2 linked regions of the Oreochromis niloticus genome follow. The protein of the gene in region 2 purifies or fractionates together with the protein of the main gene of each other region. This does not show direct contact. Links are inferred from orthologs where the notes say so. Each region holds a gene or a part of one and is shown on either strand. Other genes may lie near its edges.

Region 1 (4,972 bases), on a different chromosome or scaffold from region 2:
GTTTGCTCTACAGGTATGATTTTACCCTCAAAACGTAGCCATCGCTGTCCTCTTTCATCCAATGTGTTTACTATTGTACTAGGTGTTATGGTTCTTTCATAAATGTCACCAAAGCACAGCCTCCTCCCTCCAACTCCTCCATAGACTCTAATGTTAAAATGGCTCAGAAGGTTCGTTTGAAAATCAGAAGAGCATGGTGTTTTTACACTGTCACCACGTCCATATAATAAACTCCACAGGCATGAAAACTGAGAATTAGGTAGACTAGACATTGCTGCCGCTCACGGTGAAAGAATTTTGTCAATACGACCTATACTTTTCGTTTGGGAGTGATTTGTTTCGGCCTGACTTTTCTGTTCATTTTAAGCAGCAAAAGTGAGGTGCATGTCTGTGAGCGTGTGTATGGAGCCATTGGGTGCAGTCACTATAGCAACCAGGCTCACACCTGCCTGCCTAATGAGTTCTGTCTCTCACTGTGCCAAGATTCATCTTAAACACTTCTCTTTCAACTGCTGCTGTGTCCACAGTGTTTGCTCTACAGCCATCATTTTACCCTCAAAACGAAGCCATCGTTCTTCTCTTTCCAACAGCGTGTCTTTCAAAGCTCAGAAATGTAAACCTTTTAAACTGTGTAGATCCAAGTGGAGGGATCACACTTTAGTAATTCAGTGATTTAAAGAATATGAAATTTTAATATTCATTCAGATGTTTTCTGACTTTAAATTTTCTTTTGTCATTTCTTAGGTTTGTCTAATTTCCATTTAAAACATTTTCAACTATTTTCCAACTTCTTCTCTGTGGATGTCAGCTTTTAGCAGTTCAGCACTTTTGTTTTCAGGCGAAAATTTCTGTATTTTTCATCTCATTCAAAATTTTTAACTTAAAATTCAGCAATTAATTCATTTCAGTGCATACATTCAGATTCAAGCATTCACACTGCAGTTTCTTCAGAAAATGCACTTTCTAGTTAAGAATATGTTTATATACAAAGAACTTTATTGATATAGAGCTGAGATCTTTATGAAATTAATTGATTCATTAATGGATGAAGCTACTTCAGTGTGGAGATGTGCTACTTTGTCTTTTTTTTTTTTAATGTGTACATTAAATATCAGCCTAACATTTATTATATGACCAGAAAATATGTAACATGACCTTTAGATTTTGTATTTTGTAATGGAATCTTTTCATTGTCTTCTTCCTTTTATAAAGCTCAGTTTATTATTAAGTATAGAATAAATATCTTAAAGGGATTAAAAATAATCTGAAATCAAAGAAATATAATAAATAATAATTATACATTAAATAAAATATTAAGTAAACATAAGTATATAATATATACCAAATAGCCACTTTGTTGAAGACATCTGTTCAACTGCTTTGCAAATCAGCCAATTACATGGCAGCAGCTACATTGAATGTAGCAGGGAGGTTACATTCAACCAACCATCTCTAGGGTTTACAGAGACTGGTCTGAAAAACAGAAAATATCCAGTAAGTGGCAGTTCTCTGAGTGAAAATACTTTGCTGATGTCAGAGGTCAGATGAGAATGGCTTCAAGCTGATAGGAAGGCAACAGTAACTCAAATAACCACTCATTATAGCCACGCTAGAGCGTCTCTGAACTCACAACATCTGGAACCTTGGGACATATTAGCAACAGCAACAGAAGACCACACTAGGTGCTACACCTGTCAACTAAGAACAAAAAACTACAGCTACAAATGGCGAGGGGCTCTTTAAAATCAAACAACAGAAGATTGGAAAAATGTTTCCTGGTCTGATGAGTTTTCATTTCTGCTGCAACAAAAGCATGAATCCACTGCATCAGTAGTTCAAGTAGTTTGCGGTGATGTGTTGGGGATATTTTCTTGGCCCACTCTGGGTCCTTAGTACTGAGTGAGCATCATTTAAACTTCACAGCCTACCAGAGTATTGTTACTGACCATGTTCATCCCTTTATCCACACAATGTGCCAGGCTTCTGATGGATGACAGTATAATGTCCAAGCACGACACAGACAGGACAGCACTGTCATGTCCAAGAAGGTTCACTGTACTCAAAGTGCTTCTACAGCCCTCAAAGGTCAATTCTTTAGAGCACCTTATGGCTATGGTGGAACTATGTGACGCTATCATGTCAACATAAACCAAACCAATATGAGCCAGGTGTATTTTAGCACCTTATTGAATCTATGCAATGAAGCATTAAGGCAGCTCTGAAGGCAAAGGTGGGTGCAATCTGGTGTACACTCTGGCAAGTGTATTACATCGTAGCAAAATAAACGGCATTTAAAATGCTTACTACATGTATTAAAACCAAATAGAATTATCCGTTGGTGTCACCTTTAAAATCTTTTAGTGACCATTAACATGTACTTTTGCCTTGGGCTCGTAGATAAGTTATCTGAAATACTTTTTTAACTTTTAAAAATGCACCGCACACGTGGTGTGTGGGTAAATGATCAGATATCAGTTTGTGCTTTGATAGCATACATCAGTTTTTCTGCCACACAACATAAAGAGACCATTATCTGCCACACAGTCAAACACGACACGCGTGTCTCCAGCTGTCAGGGAAACCACTGAAAGCAAACAAACTGCCGCTCACATGAAATGTTGTGCCTTGCCGTCCTAATCTGGTACAGATTAACATCTGCTCGTGGGTAACCCTCCGCATCCACCAAGGAGTCTTCAACTCCGACCCCCTGCTGTAAATAAAAGTAAACAAAGACGAATAAAAAAAAAACCTTACTGAGACTTAGCTTTGTGCTACGTTTTGCTAATAATATGGTCGCTGACTTACGTCTTGTAGGACGTCGTAATACGCCTTTATCTGCTCTTCAATTTCATCTTTCTTCTTGATGAGGTTTTTAACATCACCCATTGTTATTTCGGAGTTTCCAGAAATGTTTTCATCCGTCATCTTCATGGCTACTCCAACTAGTGCTTCCGGTATAGCTCCTGTTTCTTCTTCTCTTGGTTTTATTTGGCAGTAAAGCGCTCCGCTGCCCCTCAATGATTTGCTCGTTGTACGAAAACATTTTAGAACTATACTGACGATCTTTAAACTGATATTACTGCCACCAGCACAAATAATAATGAAATTAGTAGTAATTATTGTTGGTCATTGTTATGTTGTCCAAAACAACTACAGCCGAAAGCGCAGATTTAGAATTAAATAACTAATAATTTAAATGACACGTATAGAATTTCTAAAAAAAATACATAAACTGAAACGTTTAAACTTTGGTTTACATTTTTATACTCCAGTGGATAACACGTTCACCACTGGGTTCCATCAGTACAAAGACCAAATAAAAAACTTCCAACATCTCATACACAACAGTGATCAATGATTCTTCCTTTTGTGCATTTCTCAGCTCATATGTTTTTTTTCCCCCTCTACCTGCTTCCATCTGAGAAGCAGAGCCTTAAGCTCTCAAGGGCCTCTTCTGCTGAACCAGCTCGTAGTTTGGATTTGGGAGAGAAACACCCTCTCTATTTTTAAGATTAGGTTTAAAACTTTCCGTTTTAATATAGTTCATTGTTAGGAGTGGATCAGGTGACCTTGACCCCAACCCTTCCTTAGTAACACTACAATAGGCCTTGCCTGCTGGGGGCTTCCCATGATGCATTGAGCATTTCTTCTTTACTCACTGTGACATACGTGACTTTACTTTTAGTTATTATGGTCAGGCTCTCTTCCACTCGACTGAAGATCTAGATTAGGCAATTTTATTCGCCAAAAAATTAGGATAACTTATTGCCTGTATATCCTGAATGACTAGACACCCCCCTTCCAATGATGCAGTAATGCTGGATGAAAATACAGTTATGAAGTTGCATGAGATTATCACTGCTTTGCCCTCACCAAAACTAAACAAAATATTAGTGTGAGGCTTTTTTGAGTACTGGATTTTTCCTGCATACTAAATAAACAAAAGTGTAAAAAAATGTTAGTAGCTTTTAAAAAAAAAACAGTTTATTTTTTATCATATAAGATGCAGACAGTTATTGCTACTAGAATCTCAGCATGAATTTGAAACCCTTCAGTTTTCCATTTATTTGATAAAGTTTTTTTGATCTTTTATTAGTAAAGGAAATTAGTAAAGGAGGAACAGGTTTGGACTCTATCAGTTAGGCATTGGACTGAGTCATTTCAACATCTGACACCTGTCTGACTTTCCAAAGAGCTAAGTTTCTAAAACTTCTCTGTTGGCGATATGGCAAGTAATCATCTGGTTTAGTGAAGGAAAACACCCAAACACATTACATTCAATCATGTGTCACCTTTAATATATTAGATACATACAATCACAGATCTTTAGATTAACCCCTTGGATTTTTTTCAGAAATCTTTCAAGAGCTGTAAACAACGTGCAGCTTCTGTATGCTGAACATTTTTTTGCACCCACGTGCTAAGAACAAATACACAGCTTTCACAAATACACCCCTGACTTTTAGTCAAGAACAGTCCCACCAAGTTGTCCTGTAGCATACTTCTGAATTTCAGAGCAGCATACATAAAGGCACAATGGTATAAAACTATTCAAAATTATCATAGTGAATAAGTACCGTATAGTGTTCGCTCTACATCTGTAAGTGCTGTGTACCCTGAGTGCTTAAATGGTACATATGAGATCTCTTATTGGAAACTGGAATGTGATTTATTGGCTCAATGCTTAAATTGGACAGATGTGCGAATAATTTGGACTAAAGTCATTAAAACCTCTGTGAACACTGTGTTACTGCATGCATAAAGTTTCCTTCAGTAAGTTCTCCTTCATCTTCAGCTGGCTTACAAATGCCCTACTCCTGCATTGGGAGCATGTGCAAATGTGGCACTGGAAAGTTTATTTGTCCTGCAGCCTACAAATGTTAGTGCTGACGATTAAATAAAGTCAAGTGCCAGATTAGCTCTATTAATAGAAATGCCTAACAGCCTGTTTCCCTCAGACCTCCGTCTTGAT
Region 2 (4,972 bases):
ATTACTCATCACCTAAGATGTTTTCTCACACTAAGAAATCGAACCTGCTCGTACAGTCAGAGGAAACTAAGTCAGCCCTTTGGAACCATCTGCACTTGAAGTTTTGTTTTACACTGAAGAAAAAACTGCAAATAATAGAGTAGAAAATCGAGTGATCTCCAAAACACAGCATGGATTTATGTATCAATTTGTTTTAAACGATTTTAGACTGAAGAGGGAACGACACGTACACAAACTTCAACACTGCAAGAGATTTTTACCAAAGCCTCAGGCGTTAATTAGCATGTCAGGGCTAAAGCATTTGCAAAGGTTTGCACATTTCAAAGCTTTACATCAGAAAGACTCCAAGGTGGAGGGCCCTGGCAGCTATGGCTGTCTTTTATGTACAGTCTATGGTTGACAGCTGGGAAACTAAAAGGCTGTTTGGCAGGAAAGAGCTTCAGAGAGACTAAGCAGACTATGCTCAGAATCAGAAAGGGTTTTATTGCCAAATGTTACAACATTAGGAAATTGCTGCAGTACTTAGTGCGAAACATACTGTAAGACAAACACATAAATAAAAATTAAAAGTGCTGAGCAGATTGGTATATACATGAATGCAGGTGATCAGTGCAAAAATGGAACCGATGCAGAGAACACAGTATAGGGTCATGTGTTTGTGGTGGGAACAGTCCTATGGTTATTGAAGAACTGAAGAACAACATACTTCATTCCACCAAGCACCAAGCTCAGTGCATGTGTCACAACCATCACTGACCCAAACATGGTGGAAAGTCTCACTAAACAACTCAGGATCCTCCAAACAAGAACTCCCACAGCTGAGAGAGGTCCCAAAGGAAGCGGTCCCAAGGACTGACTCTGAACATGTTGCGTCTCTCTTGCTTTGTCATTTTAAAGCTACAAAAATATAAAATGCATTATTATTGGACTGGAACGGGTGTGGAGATAAATCAGCCCTGACATGTGACAGACTGTGCCGCGACACTGTCACAGTTTAACAGCCGTCAGTCAGTAACAGTGCTGCATGTGTCTTCAATTTACTCCTGTCAGAGTCACAGGTGTTCAGCCCTTACGTAACAGCCAGGTAATGACTCCACATGAAAGGCTGTGAAATTCCAAACTAGTCTGTCATTAATAATAAGAAGCCAACTAGCCGGTGAAGCTGGTGAGAAGCTCTGGCGGCTGCGAGTGAACCCGGCGACAAACGCCGTTTGGATAACCCGAGACACAACACGGCTAACTACTAAAAACGCAGAGACTTTACTAAGATTCAAATTAGCCGGTAATGTTAGCCTGCTGTGTGCGCTGTTTAGCTGCATGCTAACAAGCAGGGCAGCAGTCAGTGTGTAAAGGCTGCTTAACTAGCTGCCTTTCTCTGACCTCCTTCAGTGCTTACCGGCAGCTGCTCTGTAGACAACCGTTTCACCCCCATCCGACGCTTCCAGCAGCATTTTCAAAGCAGGTTACGCGAACATTCAGATGCCCAAATAATCAAGTGAGACCTTCAGAAAGTGCTACAGTCTATGGCCCGCTCTCTACCACATGGGCCTCCTTTCGCCACTGCCAATCCGAGAACGAGCTCTGCTGTCACACCGCTAAACCCTCCGGGTGTATCATCGCGCCTCGTCACTTGTAGTTCCGCCGTCTTTGTTTTATCTGTAGCTTAAAACCTGGCCCCGCTAGCTAAACATGTCACACAATTTCTCTAATAATTATGAAGTAAAAATGATACGCACAAGATTTCTGTACCCCCCAACAGACCACCATGATAATAATTTTTTTTTTTTTTTTTTTTTTAAAAACCATGAAGCTGGTACATCCTCAATACAATTCCCGCTTGTGTGTTCCGGTAAGTGGCGCATAGCGGCGGAAGCCTAAAGCTGCTGTGTAATTGTAGAGTTTAGCAGTCCCGATTGTTCGCGACTAAACAGTTTGTTCACACATTAGACATGCCGGACTATTTGGGAGACGACCAAAGGAAGATTAAAGAAGAGGAGAAGGATGACTCCCCTATTAGAGGTATATCTAAAATAGTTTATTTAAAACATGGATACTATTTCCCGAAAAGAAGCGTCGATATCAGCTAGCAACATGGCTAATGTTAGCTTAGCTCGTTGAAAACAGTTGGTGAATGTATTTGCTACCATGTTGTTATAAATATGATCTGTTTACGGTGGAATAAAAAGTCTTGTATATACTGCATCGCTCAGTCCGACGACGGTGACAGAGTGCACGCGCATTCATGTGATTGTGATTCTTTTTTAAAGCTTTGGATGAAGGGGACATCGCTCTGCTCAAAACATATGTAAGTATGGATTTCAAACAAAACCACAGCACCAAGCAAGGGTCAAGGAAATGGAAGTGATTCCACAGTGAGTGAATGTGTTGTTTGCTGTTCACCACCAGGGTCAGAGTACCTATTCCAGACAGATCAAACAAGTGGAAGATGACATACAGCAGCTGCTCAAGAAGATAAATGAGCTGACGGGTGAGCGACGAATCCAGAAGTACATTTGTGCCACAGCAGGGCAGTAAGATGTAGAGTTCTCAGTAAGCTTCTTACTCGACTTGTTGATTGTTTAAAAGCGGTCATAAGCAACAAAACGTAATTTATTGGAAAAGCTCATTTGCCGAATTAACTTTCTAAACCTCCGAAATTTCCAGAAGCCACTTGTGTCTGACCAAATTTCAAGTACTGCGTCAAAATCAGGGGTTTTACTCCGGCTTTCTTAGATTTTCTTTACTTGGAATTCACCATTACAATTTTCAAACGTATTCAGATATTCTCAGTTTCATTTCTAACAACCAACAGTAGTACAGGAAGTATTTGGTAGCTCTATAGAAGTGGTTTACACATTAGCTGACAAGCGAAAGGTCGCTGGTTGATTCCAGCAGGAGATGCAAATCAGAAAAGGCTTCTGGACTAAAAATCCTGAATGAATTTTGTCACATCCAGAAACGATACAAAAGTTACAGACTTGATGATAACTGCAGCTGCATTGTCCTGTGCATGTTAAGTGATTATCTTGCAACATACACAGGACTCAATAGCACTGTTGCACTATACAAATACATTTGGACAAGTTTCATTAAGTGCCAGTTAAACCTCGTGTATTTTCACCCCTCACTTAATTATTTGGTGCTTGCATGGCCTGTTACTTTAGATGCAGCTGTCTAGCTGGCCTTTCCTGGCCACCCAGTACTCTGGGCTAAGGTAACACACAAAGAGAGATCACCTTTTCCACCACAACCCACTGCTATGGGGCCAGTTTAGATTTAAAAAAGACATGTCTAGTTGACTTTAACTCCAAAAAATGGTAAGGGCAGCATTGCTGTTGAAAATGGATCGTCTTAAATTTGGAATGATTGTCCAGCTTTATCAGAGGAGTATATATGGACGGTTTTGGTTCTTTGGAATGCTGCACAAGATGCTTTGTGTCTGATTTGTTTTTTTAATTGCACAGGCATCAAGGAGTCTGACACAGGCCTGGCTCCACCCGCTCTCTGGGATCTAGCTGCTGACAAGCAGACACTGCAGAGCGAGCAGCCGCTGCAGGTAGCAAGGTAAATGTTTAACTTTAACATCACCAAAATGTAAAGTGTGGTGTTATATCGCTGATCTTCCCTGTGGGATGTTTCGAGGAACATTCCTGTCAATCCGACATGAATTTTCTTAGCTTTCCTACTTCCTTCCACAGCATTTCCATTATGTAGCTTCATGATTCTTTATTTTTTTCTGAAAGATGCACAAAGATCATCAATGCAGACTCTGAGGATCCCAAATACATCATCAACGTCAAACAATTTGCCAAGTTTGTGGTGGACCTGAGTGACCAGGTGGCTCCAACTGACATCGAGGAGGGCATGAGAGTGGGGTGAGGCAGAAGCATGATTTAAATGTGTTACATAGTTTCCAGAAGGTTCCGTCAGCTGTAAGCTAAGTTTAGTGTCCTGTCTGTTTTTCCAGGGTTGACAGAAACAAGTATCAGATCCACATTCCTCTGCCTCCGAAAATCGACCCCACTGTCACCATGATGCAGGTTAGGAGGCGAGGAATACTTTGTGATTGTTTGGTTATCTGTCTGCTTGCATGTGATAACTCCTTTGCCCACTTGCTTTAGGTGGAAGAGAAGCCTGATGTGACCTACAGTGATGTTGGTGGATGCAAGGAGCAGATAGAGAAGCTGAGAGAGGTGGTCGAAACTCCGCTGCTCCATGTGAGTGTTCCAAAGTTAGAACCACCACTGAGGCATGAGTGAAGCAACTGTCTTCTGCACATGGAAGCTCACTTGTCGTCTTTTTCTTCTCACCAGCCTGAGAGGTTTGTCAATCTGGGAATCGAGCCTCCTAAAGGTGTGCTGCTATTCGGGCCCCCCGGTACCGGAAAGACCCTGTGTGCCCGGGCTGTGGCCAACAGAACAGACGCCTGCTTCATCAGAGTCATCGGCTCTGAGCTGGTGCAGAAATACGTGGGAGAGGTGCGCTCACGAAAAGAAAGATTAGCTGCAGTTTAGATCAGGAAGGTTGATTCACGTAAACGTCTGCTCTGACTTTTCCTGAACTCGTTCACAGGGAGCCAGGATGGTGCGTGAGCTCTTTGAGATGGCCAGGACCAAAAAGGCCTGTCTGATCTTCTTTGATGAAATTGATGCTATTGGAGGTTAGTCTCATATTTACATTACTTGTATGTAACGTGCAGCAGTCCTTTTAATCCAGTGTGAAGAAAAATCAATTCTGAGTGTGAGCGTGTAACCCTCTGAACCTGCCAGGTGCTCGTTTTGATGACGGTGCCGGTGGAGACAACGAGGTCCAAAGGACCATGCTGGAGCTCATCAATCAGCTGGATGGTTTCGACCCTCGAGGCAACATCAAAGTGCTGATGGCCACCAACAGGCCGGACACGCTGGACCCGGCCCTGATGAGGCCCGGACGTCTGGATAGGAAGATTGAATTCAGCCTGCCTGACCTTGAG

Evidence for each region. Proteins that work in one complex are often made in the same cells at the same time.
Region 1: the proteins of psmc2 (region 2) and psmd9 fractionate together in Homo sapiens (co-fractionation; 4 studies listed by BioGRID and IntAct, with this or other methods). This does not show direct contact. The link is inferred for Oreochromis niloticus from reciprocal best matches to the Homo sapiens genes PSMC2 and PSMD9.

What each region holds. Positions count from the first base shown.
Region 1 is NC_031977.2:19,453,794-19,458,765, reverse strand, and holds the start of psmd9 (26S proteasome non-ATPase regulatory subunit 9), read right to left. Parts: upstream 3,015-4,972; 5' UTR 2,932-3,014; coding exon 2,806-2,931; intron 2,711-2,805; coding exon 2,611-2,710; intron 1-2,610. Other genes in the region: rab5 GDP/GTP exchange factor, read right to left, coding at 4,938-4,972. UniProt on the Homo sapiens protein: Acts as a chaperone during the assembly of the 26S proteasome, specifically of the base subcomplex of the PA700/19S regulatory complex (RC).
Region 2 is NC_031981.2:38,763,120-38,768,091, forward strand, and holds the start of psmc2 (26S proteasome regulatory subunit 7), read left to right. Parts: upstream 1-1,838; 5' UTR 1,839-1,949; coding exon 1,950-2,019; intron 2,020-2,267; coding exon 2,268-2,305; intron 2,306-2,406; coding exon 2,407-2,488; intron 2,489-3,464; coding exon 3,465-3,564; intron 3,565-3,743; coding exon 3,744-3,875; intron 3,876-3,967; coding exon 3,968-4,040; intron 4,041-4,121; coding exon 4,122-4,217; intron 4,218-4,313; coding exon 4,314-4,478; intron 4,479-4,572; coding exon 4,573-4,660; intron 4,661-4,769; coding exon 4,770-4,972. Other genes in the region: dnajc2 (dnaJ homolog subfamily C member 2), read right to left, coding at 1,397-1,451.